2 linked regions of the Coturnix japonica genome follow. The main gene of each other region encodes a partner of the protein of the gene in region 2 in a complex. Links are inferred from orthologs where the notes say so. Each region holds a gene or a part of one and is shown on either strand. Other genes may lie near its edges. The genes, in order: EIF3F and EIF3J.

The links.
Region 1: EIF3J (region 2) and EIF3F share a complex: the UniProt entries of both Homo sapiens proteins name them as parts of the eukaryotic translation initiation factor 3 (eIF-3) complex. The link is inferred for Coturnix japonica from reciprocal best matches to the Homo sapiens genes EIF3J and EIF3F.

The regions. Positions count from the first base shown.
Region 1 is NC_029521.1:13,754,724-13,759,066, forward strand, and holds the start of EIF3F (eukaryotic translation initiation factor 3 subunit F), read right to left. Parts: upstream 2,976-4,343; 5' UTR 2,954-2,975; coding exon 2,680-2,953; intron 2,570-2,679; coding exon 2,499-2,569; intron 2,423-2,498; coding exon 2,343-2,422; intron 1,403-2,342; coding exon 1,265-1,402; intron 204-1,264; coding exon 112-203; intron 1-111. UniProt on the Homo sapiens protein: Component of the eukaryotic translation initiation factor 3 (eIF-3) complex, which is required for several steps in the initiation of protein synthesis.
Region 2 is NC_029525.1:17,935,772-17,940,190, forward strand, and holds the start of EIF3J (eukaryotic translation initiation factor 3 subunit J), read right to left. Parts: upstream 3,034-4,419; 5' UTR 3,019-3,033; coding exon 2,865-3,018; intron 2,757-2,864; coding exon 2,656-2,756; intron 5-2,655; coding exon 1-4. UniProt on the Homo sapiens protein: Component of the eukaryotic translation initiation factor 3 (eIF-3) complex, which is required for several steps in the initiation of protein synthesis.

The sequences.
Region 1 (4,343 bases), on a different chromosome or scaffold from region 2:
AGACAGTTTAATTCCCCCCCAGAGTGGTAATTTTACCAGGCTTAATAACCAAACAGCATTTGAACAGTATCACGACAATGGTTAGACCCAAAATAGGAATAAAGCATTCACCTCCTATCCGCTCTGTGTCGTAATAAACATACTTCACTGTCAGTGGTGTGAACATCACGCCCATAGTTTTACCAGGGACTCCCATTGGGGCACTAGGAAAAACACATAAATTCAGCATGGACACATCTGAAAGGAAATAATTTTCCATCTCAATGATCTTTATTAGCACTACAGTGTGAACACGAATAGGTTACTCACTGTCAGTAAAATCAGCAATATTAATACCATGTATAACCAAGGACAGGAAATCAATACAGGTATATTATTAACTGCAAATTTTCATCCAAAAATATTCCTAGCTGGTCTGACATTTATCAGTACAAGCGCATGATGAGTTCAGTACTGTCTTCTTGGTGAAGCTGACATGTCTGAGGGATAAAATGCCATTTGAAGAGACCTAGGCAGACTCAAGCAGTGTGCCCAGGTAAACCTCATGAGGTTTGATAAATCCAAGTGCACCTGGGTCGTGATAACCCCTGCTATCAGTATAACCTGGGGGATGTAAGGATGGAGCACAGCCCTGCCAAAAAGGACCTGGGGGAACTCATGGATGTTAAGCTGGACACAAGCCAGCAACATGCTTTGCAGCCCAGAGAGCCAACTGTATCCTGAAACGTGGCCAGCGGGGAGTGGGATGTGATCTTGCCCCTCTGCTCTGGTGAGGCCTCACCTGGAGTACTGCATCCAGATGCAGAGTCCTCAGCACAGGAGAAACATGGACCTATTAGAGTGCATCCAGAGGAGGGCCACAAATAGGATCCCAGGGATGAAACAACTCTGCTACGTGGACAGGCTGAGAGCTGGGGCTGTGTAGCCTGGAGAATGGTGTGAGGTGACCTGAGTGTGTCCTTTCAATATCTAAAGGGGAAGCTATATGAAGGAAGGGGGGCAGACTCTTCAGCAGAGTCTGTTGTGATAGGACAAGGGGAAATGGTTTCAAACTAAAAGAGGGGAGATTTACATTGGACAAAAAGAGAACATTTTTAAAATAGGGGTGGTGAGGCACTGGCACAGGTTGCCCAGACATGTGGTGGATGCCCCATTCCCGTAGGCATTCGAGGCTGGATAGGGCTCTAAGCAACACTATCAAGCTGTAGGTGCCATCCTGATACAATATCTGTTAGTAATTCAGACAGTTCCTGTCCCCATGTACCTGACATAGGCTTTAATGCTCATGCGTGAGTTCTGGAGACTTGTGTCCACAGTGAGGTGGATTGGATTGTGTGCTTCCCGGCTGTAGTACTCGTGGATCAGGACAGAATGTTCTGTGATGTCGTGACCTGTTGCGTACCTTGGAAAAAGCAAATGTTGAAAGACCACTCTTCTAATGTTCAAATGCCCAGTATTTGTTGGTATTTAACAGGTCTGTATTCTAAAACCCTGATGTCCAAGCACTGAGTTGCAGACACATAGTAAAGACTAGTATTATAACTAGGTCATGTGTAGTTTTATGGCTCTCCTAGAATTATAGGCTGAGTGCACACATGCCCAAAACATGCACAGGGTCAGTGTTGTATTACCATCAAAAAGAGTCAGTTTTTTGTCACTATGCTCTGGGCCAAATCTTTATTTCCTTATAAATCAAAGCATGCCAAGCAAATTTGGACCAGCAAAGTAAATCTTAAACAAATTAAACACCCCTGTGCAGGAGGCAGGGCTTGTTCATCTCGCTCCTTCAATTGCTCCGCAATTAACTTCTTGCATGCACAGGAAAGCGACTGCCATGAGAACTGCACCTTGCTGTGCCATGATGGGTTGTTGAGGAAGCCAAGAGTTCTGCGCTTGTAGGATTTTGTTCCATAGAAAGGGGCCAGAGAGGATGTCAATAGACAAACGAGGCCAGTTATCCGTGCACAAACGAGTTCTTTTCCTGTAACACCCCATCACAGGTATTTCCACCTTTACTCAGAGAACACCCTTGTGTTCAGGCTAACATCACCGTTTCCCACCAGCCCTTTGGTACTTTTGTGTTCTCCCTCCAGCTAGTTACCTTACAGACTGTATCACTGCATTCTAATAGATCCATGAGCATTCCCAACCCTCCTGTCTGTGACAGCTCTTCTAGACTAACCAAAAACGCTCTAAGTCTGCGACAGCATCCTTTCCTATCCTGAGTGATGGCACGACTTCACTGCTGCTTCTGCTTTCCAGCCTCTGACAGCAATGACAGATCTGAGGTATCTGAGGGACCTGCACAACTGCCCGCACTTCCCTGTGGCCATAGAACTCACCAGCCCAGGATGATCTCACTGGGAGACACCTTTTTGTGCAGCTCGTACATGTTTTTGGCAAACTCCATATCAACAGCCACCTGGGGAAGGGGACAGAGCCGAGTCAGCGGGTGCAGGAGCCCCGATGGCACATCCCCCATAGCCCCCACACCGTACCTCATCCTCGGACTCGTTGTGCGGGACGGAGAAGCAGTTGGTGACCTCCACCGAGTGCTTGTCCACGGTGCCTGCGGGACGACAGCGGTTAGTGGGGCGGTATTGGTCTTAGTGGGGCGGTATCAGTGGGGCGGTATCAGTGGGGCGGTATCAGTGGGGGCTGCGGCATTGCGGCTCTTACCCAGCAGGGTCCCGATGACCCGCGCCGCGCCCTCGTTGCGCCGCTCGAAGCTGTCCACGATGGAGGCCAGCACCACCGGGTGCAGCCGCACCACGCGGCCGCCGGGGAAAGGACCCGAGAGCGCGGCGGACAGCGGGGCGGAGGGCGGCGGTGCCGCCGGGGCTGAGGGCGGAGGGGGCGCGGCCGCCGTGGGTGTAGTGGGAGCAGCCGTGGGGCTGGGAGCCGGGGCGGCAGCGGGAGGGACCGGAGCCACAGCGGGAGCAGGAGCCGCCATTTTGCGAAGAGAAAGGGGAGAGACCTCGGCCACGACAATTGGCTGATCGGAACGCCTGTCACATACGCCACTTCCGTGAGCATCCGCCCCCTCATGGGCTGGCGCAGCGCTGAGCTCCTGTCTGCCAAAGGCAGAGCTGTGCTACCTGTGTGACGTGGTGTAGGAGCCTGCTTTGGCAGGGGGTTGGACTCGATGATCTCTAGAGGTCCCTTCCAACCCCTACAATTCTGTGATTCTCTGGTGTGATTTCTTTTTACAGCCCTTACACGTCACTGAGCCATTACTTTTGCATGTGCTGTTATGTCGGCTGCATCTTCACAGCTGATATATAATTTCTATATCAGTAGCTATCGTCTCATCTTGCTTGTGCAATGGGAATAAACATAATTTCTTGTTGAGAGGCGAAAAACCCCTTAGAGTACATTAAAAATATTGCATTGAATTACAGGTAAAATAAAATATGCATTTCATGTAGATAAGCATAATTAGGAAAAAGAATAGCAAGACTGATTTTCTGAATCTGTTGGTATCAAAGAATGGAAGTCTCTTTTCCTGCTTGGAACATCAGGTCTGTGTCTCCAGCTCTCACTGTGTTCATGGAACTCCCTCTCTGCCATTTCTCATGGTCATATTGCCAATGCTTTGGCTGGCTGTTGGTTATCTGTGTTTTTCAGGACTGTATGGTAAGTGTTGAGTCACGGCCTGAACCACTGATTGAACAGCTGGGGAAAGGACTGGTCAGCCCTGGGAGCACAGGTGAAGGCAATTCAGCTGTGTGCCTGGAGGGGATGCAGCCTGCCTGCACCTCTCTTAGACCTTATTTAAGGGCTGACTGCTGCTAGTAAAGGGTTTTTTCCTGGAGATCTCTCCTTAGTGAAGCTTTATGCTGCAAACCTAGAATTTTCTGATACAGGTGAGCAATCTTCTCTTACTTTATAGCACCTTTCTACTGTGTTGGTCCTTTTATCATTGCATCTCTTTTGTAATGCTTTTTCTATCATACTGGTCCATCCAATTGCTACTAGGATTTCTCTGGGGCTTTAGTATGAAGTAGTGATGGTCAGTGGCTTCTGGGTTTTAAATTAAAACTAAGTGGTAGTTTCCTTATTCAGCCTCAATGGAGTGTTTTGGATACTCCTCTGCTTCCTGTTCACTTGTGGTTGCTAGTAGATGAACGGCTATTGTTGGCAGCCTAATTTCTAGTATAATGCATTGGTTGATATGTCTTCATATTAGCAGAAGGAATTCAAACCGTTCCTCACTTTTTTTGCAATGTTTTATGGGGCTACTTTAATTATTAGAGATCCTGTTTGACATGGGGAGCTGCTGATGTTAAAGCTAGAATGGAAATCCCAATCCAGCCCCCAGCCGCTCGAGCAGATGCAGCCCC
Region 2 (4,419 bases):
TATCCTACAAAGGAAGTCTTCATTAAGACACATGTTGATGCTTTTACGTATTTCTACTTGGCAAACGCAGAGGACAGCAGCTTTCATACGGCCTTTTTAAATGCTCTCAAATCCATTCATTTGAGTTAGGAAGTGGGGAGTTGAGCTGTTGGAGCTGTAAAATAAGGGCTCTGACCTGGGAGCTGAGCACAGTGCCGTCAGCTGTGCAGCCCCCTCCCAACAATTAGCTGGGTATCATTAATGGACACGTGTTCTTCCCCTGGTGCCCCTCCAGGTCCCACTGATGCCCTCTGTGTACAGATCAGCGCTTTGTCACAGCCCTGAAGGTACATGTGGCACCACAAGTTAAAGCCAAGAAATGGCCCAGGAATCTACTTTGAGTTACCAGCACGAGTGGAACCTGTAAGCTTAAGAGCTCACCTTTGGCAGGGCCTGGTCTGCACAGAAGCCACGCAGGCCATGCACACGTTATGGGTGAGCTTTACAACCACAATCCCCAGCTGGGCCTCAGAGCAGAAACGTGAGCACTCAGAGCAGCCATTTACCCGGAGGAGGAACGCGGCGTCACAGCGCATCCCCACAGCTCCCCTGGGCCAACCCGCACCTGTGGCAGAGCCGGCTTCCATCCACATTCCAGGAGGCTGACTTGAATCTGCAGCAGCGCTCATTCAGCTCGTATCTAATTAAACCTGTTACACCCATTTCTTAAACAGCCATTCTCAGCACTGCTGTGCTCGGTGCCCAGCCTGCACGGAGGGGTTTAGATCGAGCACACAGAGCAGGAGGGCAGCGAGTACCAACGGGGCTGCAGGAAGCGACCGCCTCCTCCAACAACTGCTGCCTTCAGATGGGAACAACCCGCCCCAAAGCTGCTCCAAGCACCTGTCAGCACTGCAGGAGTGAGTGAGCAGGGGTGAGTGTGCAAGGGGTGAGTGTGCAAGGGGTGAGTGTGCAGCAGCTGCTCCCACCGCTGCAGCTGGAGCAGGAGCTGAGCCCCATCTCTCCTCCTCCAGCACTGACACTGAGCCAGGGCACAGCCTCCAACCAAGAGCTGCCCAGGGATAAATAGAGCGAACCCTGTTGGCACCAGGCCTGTCTGCTGGGCAAGCTGTGCCCGGTAACAGCTGAGAGCAGCTGCGTTACCAATGAAGATGATGATCTGAAACCCGGGGAAGTCAATGTTTCCTGAACTCTGGGGTTACTTTAAGATCAAAACAACTGCAAAACAAACTACAGGATCCGAGTATGTAGGAAACAAAGCAAGAACATGAACACGCAAAACACCGCGCTCACATCTTTCCCTTATATCCATACTCCAAGGCTGACCCTGGCAAACAAGGAGCTCCAGTATCCACCTCCCAGGCTCAGCCCTGAGATCTCCAGCATTTAAACAACGAGCAAATGGAAATGAAACACTCCTATCTGCCATCCAGCCCTCAGCTCCAGGTGCAGCTCTGGTACTAATAGTGTGACCCCGAGAAAGGGGGAGGAAGCCAAACTGCTGCACACGGGGAGCTGCTCCTTTATGACAGCAGAGCTGTCCCTATGAGCACCACCCCACAGAGCAGTTCTCCTGGACACGCTGGATACCAGGAAGGTTCCTCACTTCCAAAGGAAGGCAGAAAAGCAAACTTCACCAGCGCTCTGTATGTGTTCTATATAAACACACACAGGTACGCACACACTGCAGCCAGTGTCACATACGTGCATCCAGTGACGCTGTAACCACGCTGCTCACAGAGATACCCCCACTCACCTTGTGTGCTGTAATGCCACAGCAGTGATAACCACAGGGTGTGGTGTCACTGTGCTTCAGAAGCAGAACAGACAGCTCCTAACTCACACAAGTATCTCTTTATAAAGGGAACGCTCTCACACTGCCCACAGAAGGAATTCCACCCTAAGCTCCAATGGTGCTGGTGGTTCCAATATCCTCCAAACAGCGGCACAGCCCGACCCAGCCGAGCACTGAGCCCTCACCCAGCACCGTGCAGGGCTTCACCCAGCGACCACAACGTGGCGACCAGGCGACACCCCGAGCTGCACCGCTGCGTGTCACAGCCCCGACAGCAGCTGGACCGGCCACAAAACGCTGCTGTGAGCTTCGGCTCCTTCCATCCCGATCCCACCCACACGTGCTGCCCGGCTGCTGTGCACACAGAGCTCCGTGCTGGGAGCACAGCGGGGCCAGGCGGCAGGAGACTCGCTGTAATGCAGCCCCTCGTTGTAATGCAGCCCCTCGCTGTAGTGCATTCACTCGCTGTAGTTCAGTCACTCGCTGTAGCTCAGTCACTCGCTGTATCGCAGCCCGGCTCCATCCTCCCGCCTCCACGTGCTGCAGCGCCTCAAACCCCCCATCCCAGCGCTGCTCCGTCAGCCCGTGGCCGCCATCCCGCCCTGCAGCCCCGCTCGGTTCTGGCAGCACCGTGACACCCCCCGCAGCTCCGGCTCCTCCCCGCCCGGCTCCCCGTACCCGCTCCCGGCCCGACTCCGCTCCCCGTGGCCCAGCGGTACCGGACCGCGCCAGGAGCCGCGTTCGGGCCGTGTCGGCTCCCGGGCCCCACAGCGAACAACACCCGACGGCCAACAGCGCATCACGGCCCGGATCCGATCGGAGCGGCCCGACCCGGCGCTGAGTGTCCCGGCCCGACGCACCTTCACGTCGTCGTCCTCGTCCTCTCCGGCCCAGCGATCTCCGGCCACCCCCGGCACCAACCGCTTCGCCACCGGCTCCACCACCTCGAAGGTGTCGGCGTCTGTGTGGGGGGAAGCAGAAAGGACAGCGGGTGAGCGGAGCGAGGACCGGACGGACCGAACGGATGGAACGGATGGAACGGATGGACCGGGTCCAGGCCGACACCTACCCCAGGAATCCGCCTCGGCCGCCATCTTGCCGCGGGAGCGCGGCGCGAGCTGACTCAGCCGCAGCTCAGCGCACGGCGCGCGGGGCACCATGGGAGCACGGCCCGCCCCTGCGGCCGCCATCTTGGGAGGGATGAGGTGGGGCCGAGCCGCCATCTTGGGAGGGGTGAGGTGACGGCACCGCCGCCATCTTGGGAGGGCTGACAGGCCGCTCCCCCCGGCGGGGCGGGGCCGGGCCGGGCGCCGTGCGGTACAACGGGCCGTGCCGGGGCTGGACGGGCCGTGCCGGGGCTGGACGGGCCGTGCCGGGGCTGTCCCGGCCCGCTGTGCTCGGGTGGGCGGTTCGGTGCTGGGTAGGACGGGGATCACCTCAGGAACACGGGGCAGAAACGCAGCTGAGGCGGCTGGAAGTGCCGGCGTTGGGCCGGGCAGCCCCTGGGCTGCACAGTGGAGCTGGCAGGGCTCAGAGCTACAGACCATCACAGCGTCAACCGGAGTATAAATATTTAATAGAAATCTGTAGGATTCGATATCCTGAAACCACAGCAGAAAAAAACCACAGCTCTGTAGGACGTTGGTTCTCTCCCATTTGTATTTTACAAGGTTCAGCCTATCGGTACAATGACATCTTTGCAAGTATAAAAAAAATAAAGCAAAACAGTATTACATTACACAGTCAAGACAACCCAAATAGTGATGTGCGTAACAGAACCTGTACAAGGCAATCCTTGCCGAGCCTTCCTTGCTTCCAAACAAAGAAGTTGCTTTTTTTTTTTATTAATTTATATAGATCTTTTTGTACAAAATAATGACAACTAGCTAAGAAAACAACGCACCTATGCTACTTCTCATCAGCCATTTAGCAACTTGTGAACCATTCTCTTTAAGCACCCACAACCCAAGGTGCGGATCTGCAGCGACGCGGTGGCTCAGCCCTTAGAGCACAGCCTGACTCTCATCGTTCGATTCCACCTGTCTCAGGTGCTGATAATGATACAGAAGCTCCATGGAGTTGGCTGAGCCACGTGCCTGCTTTGCTGCGCAGACCCAAGTCCTTTCCCCATCAAAATAACCCACACTTGACTTGAAACTCTACTTACAGCGGAAGACGTTATTTTCATGTCATAGCAATCAGTTTCTCGTTGCACTTATTGGAACAAACCTAACAGCCGCGCTGATATCGCACCAGGAGCTGCCTGGTCTTTTCTTTCAATGACAACATGTTGTGAGCGTTTACTTTTTGGCCTCGACTTCCTGAAACCCATTCCATCTGGCCAGACGTACCGGATTCATTGCAACTGTGCAAACATTCATTTGACACTGGAACTTTAGCTTTGTAAAGGTGTGCTCTCCAAGTCCTTAACATGGAAGGCAATGGGAGCACAGGATGGAGAGGAGACAGAGAAGGCACAGATAACTCTCCTAGTTCCCCAGTGTGTTCAGTGCTGATCCAGCCCCCCATTCAGAAGAATGGAACAACACAGGGAATCCTGCAGCCGCAGTTCGGACACCCCAACACTAATGGGGCCTTCCTCGGTTCTTTTGTGAAGTTCCAAG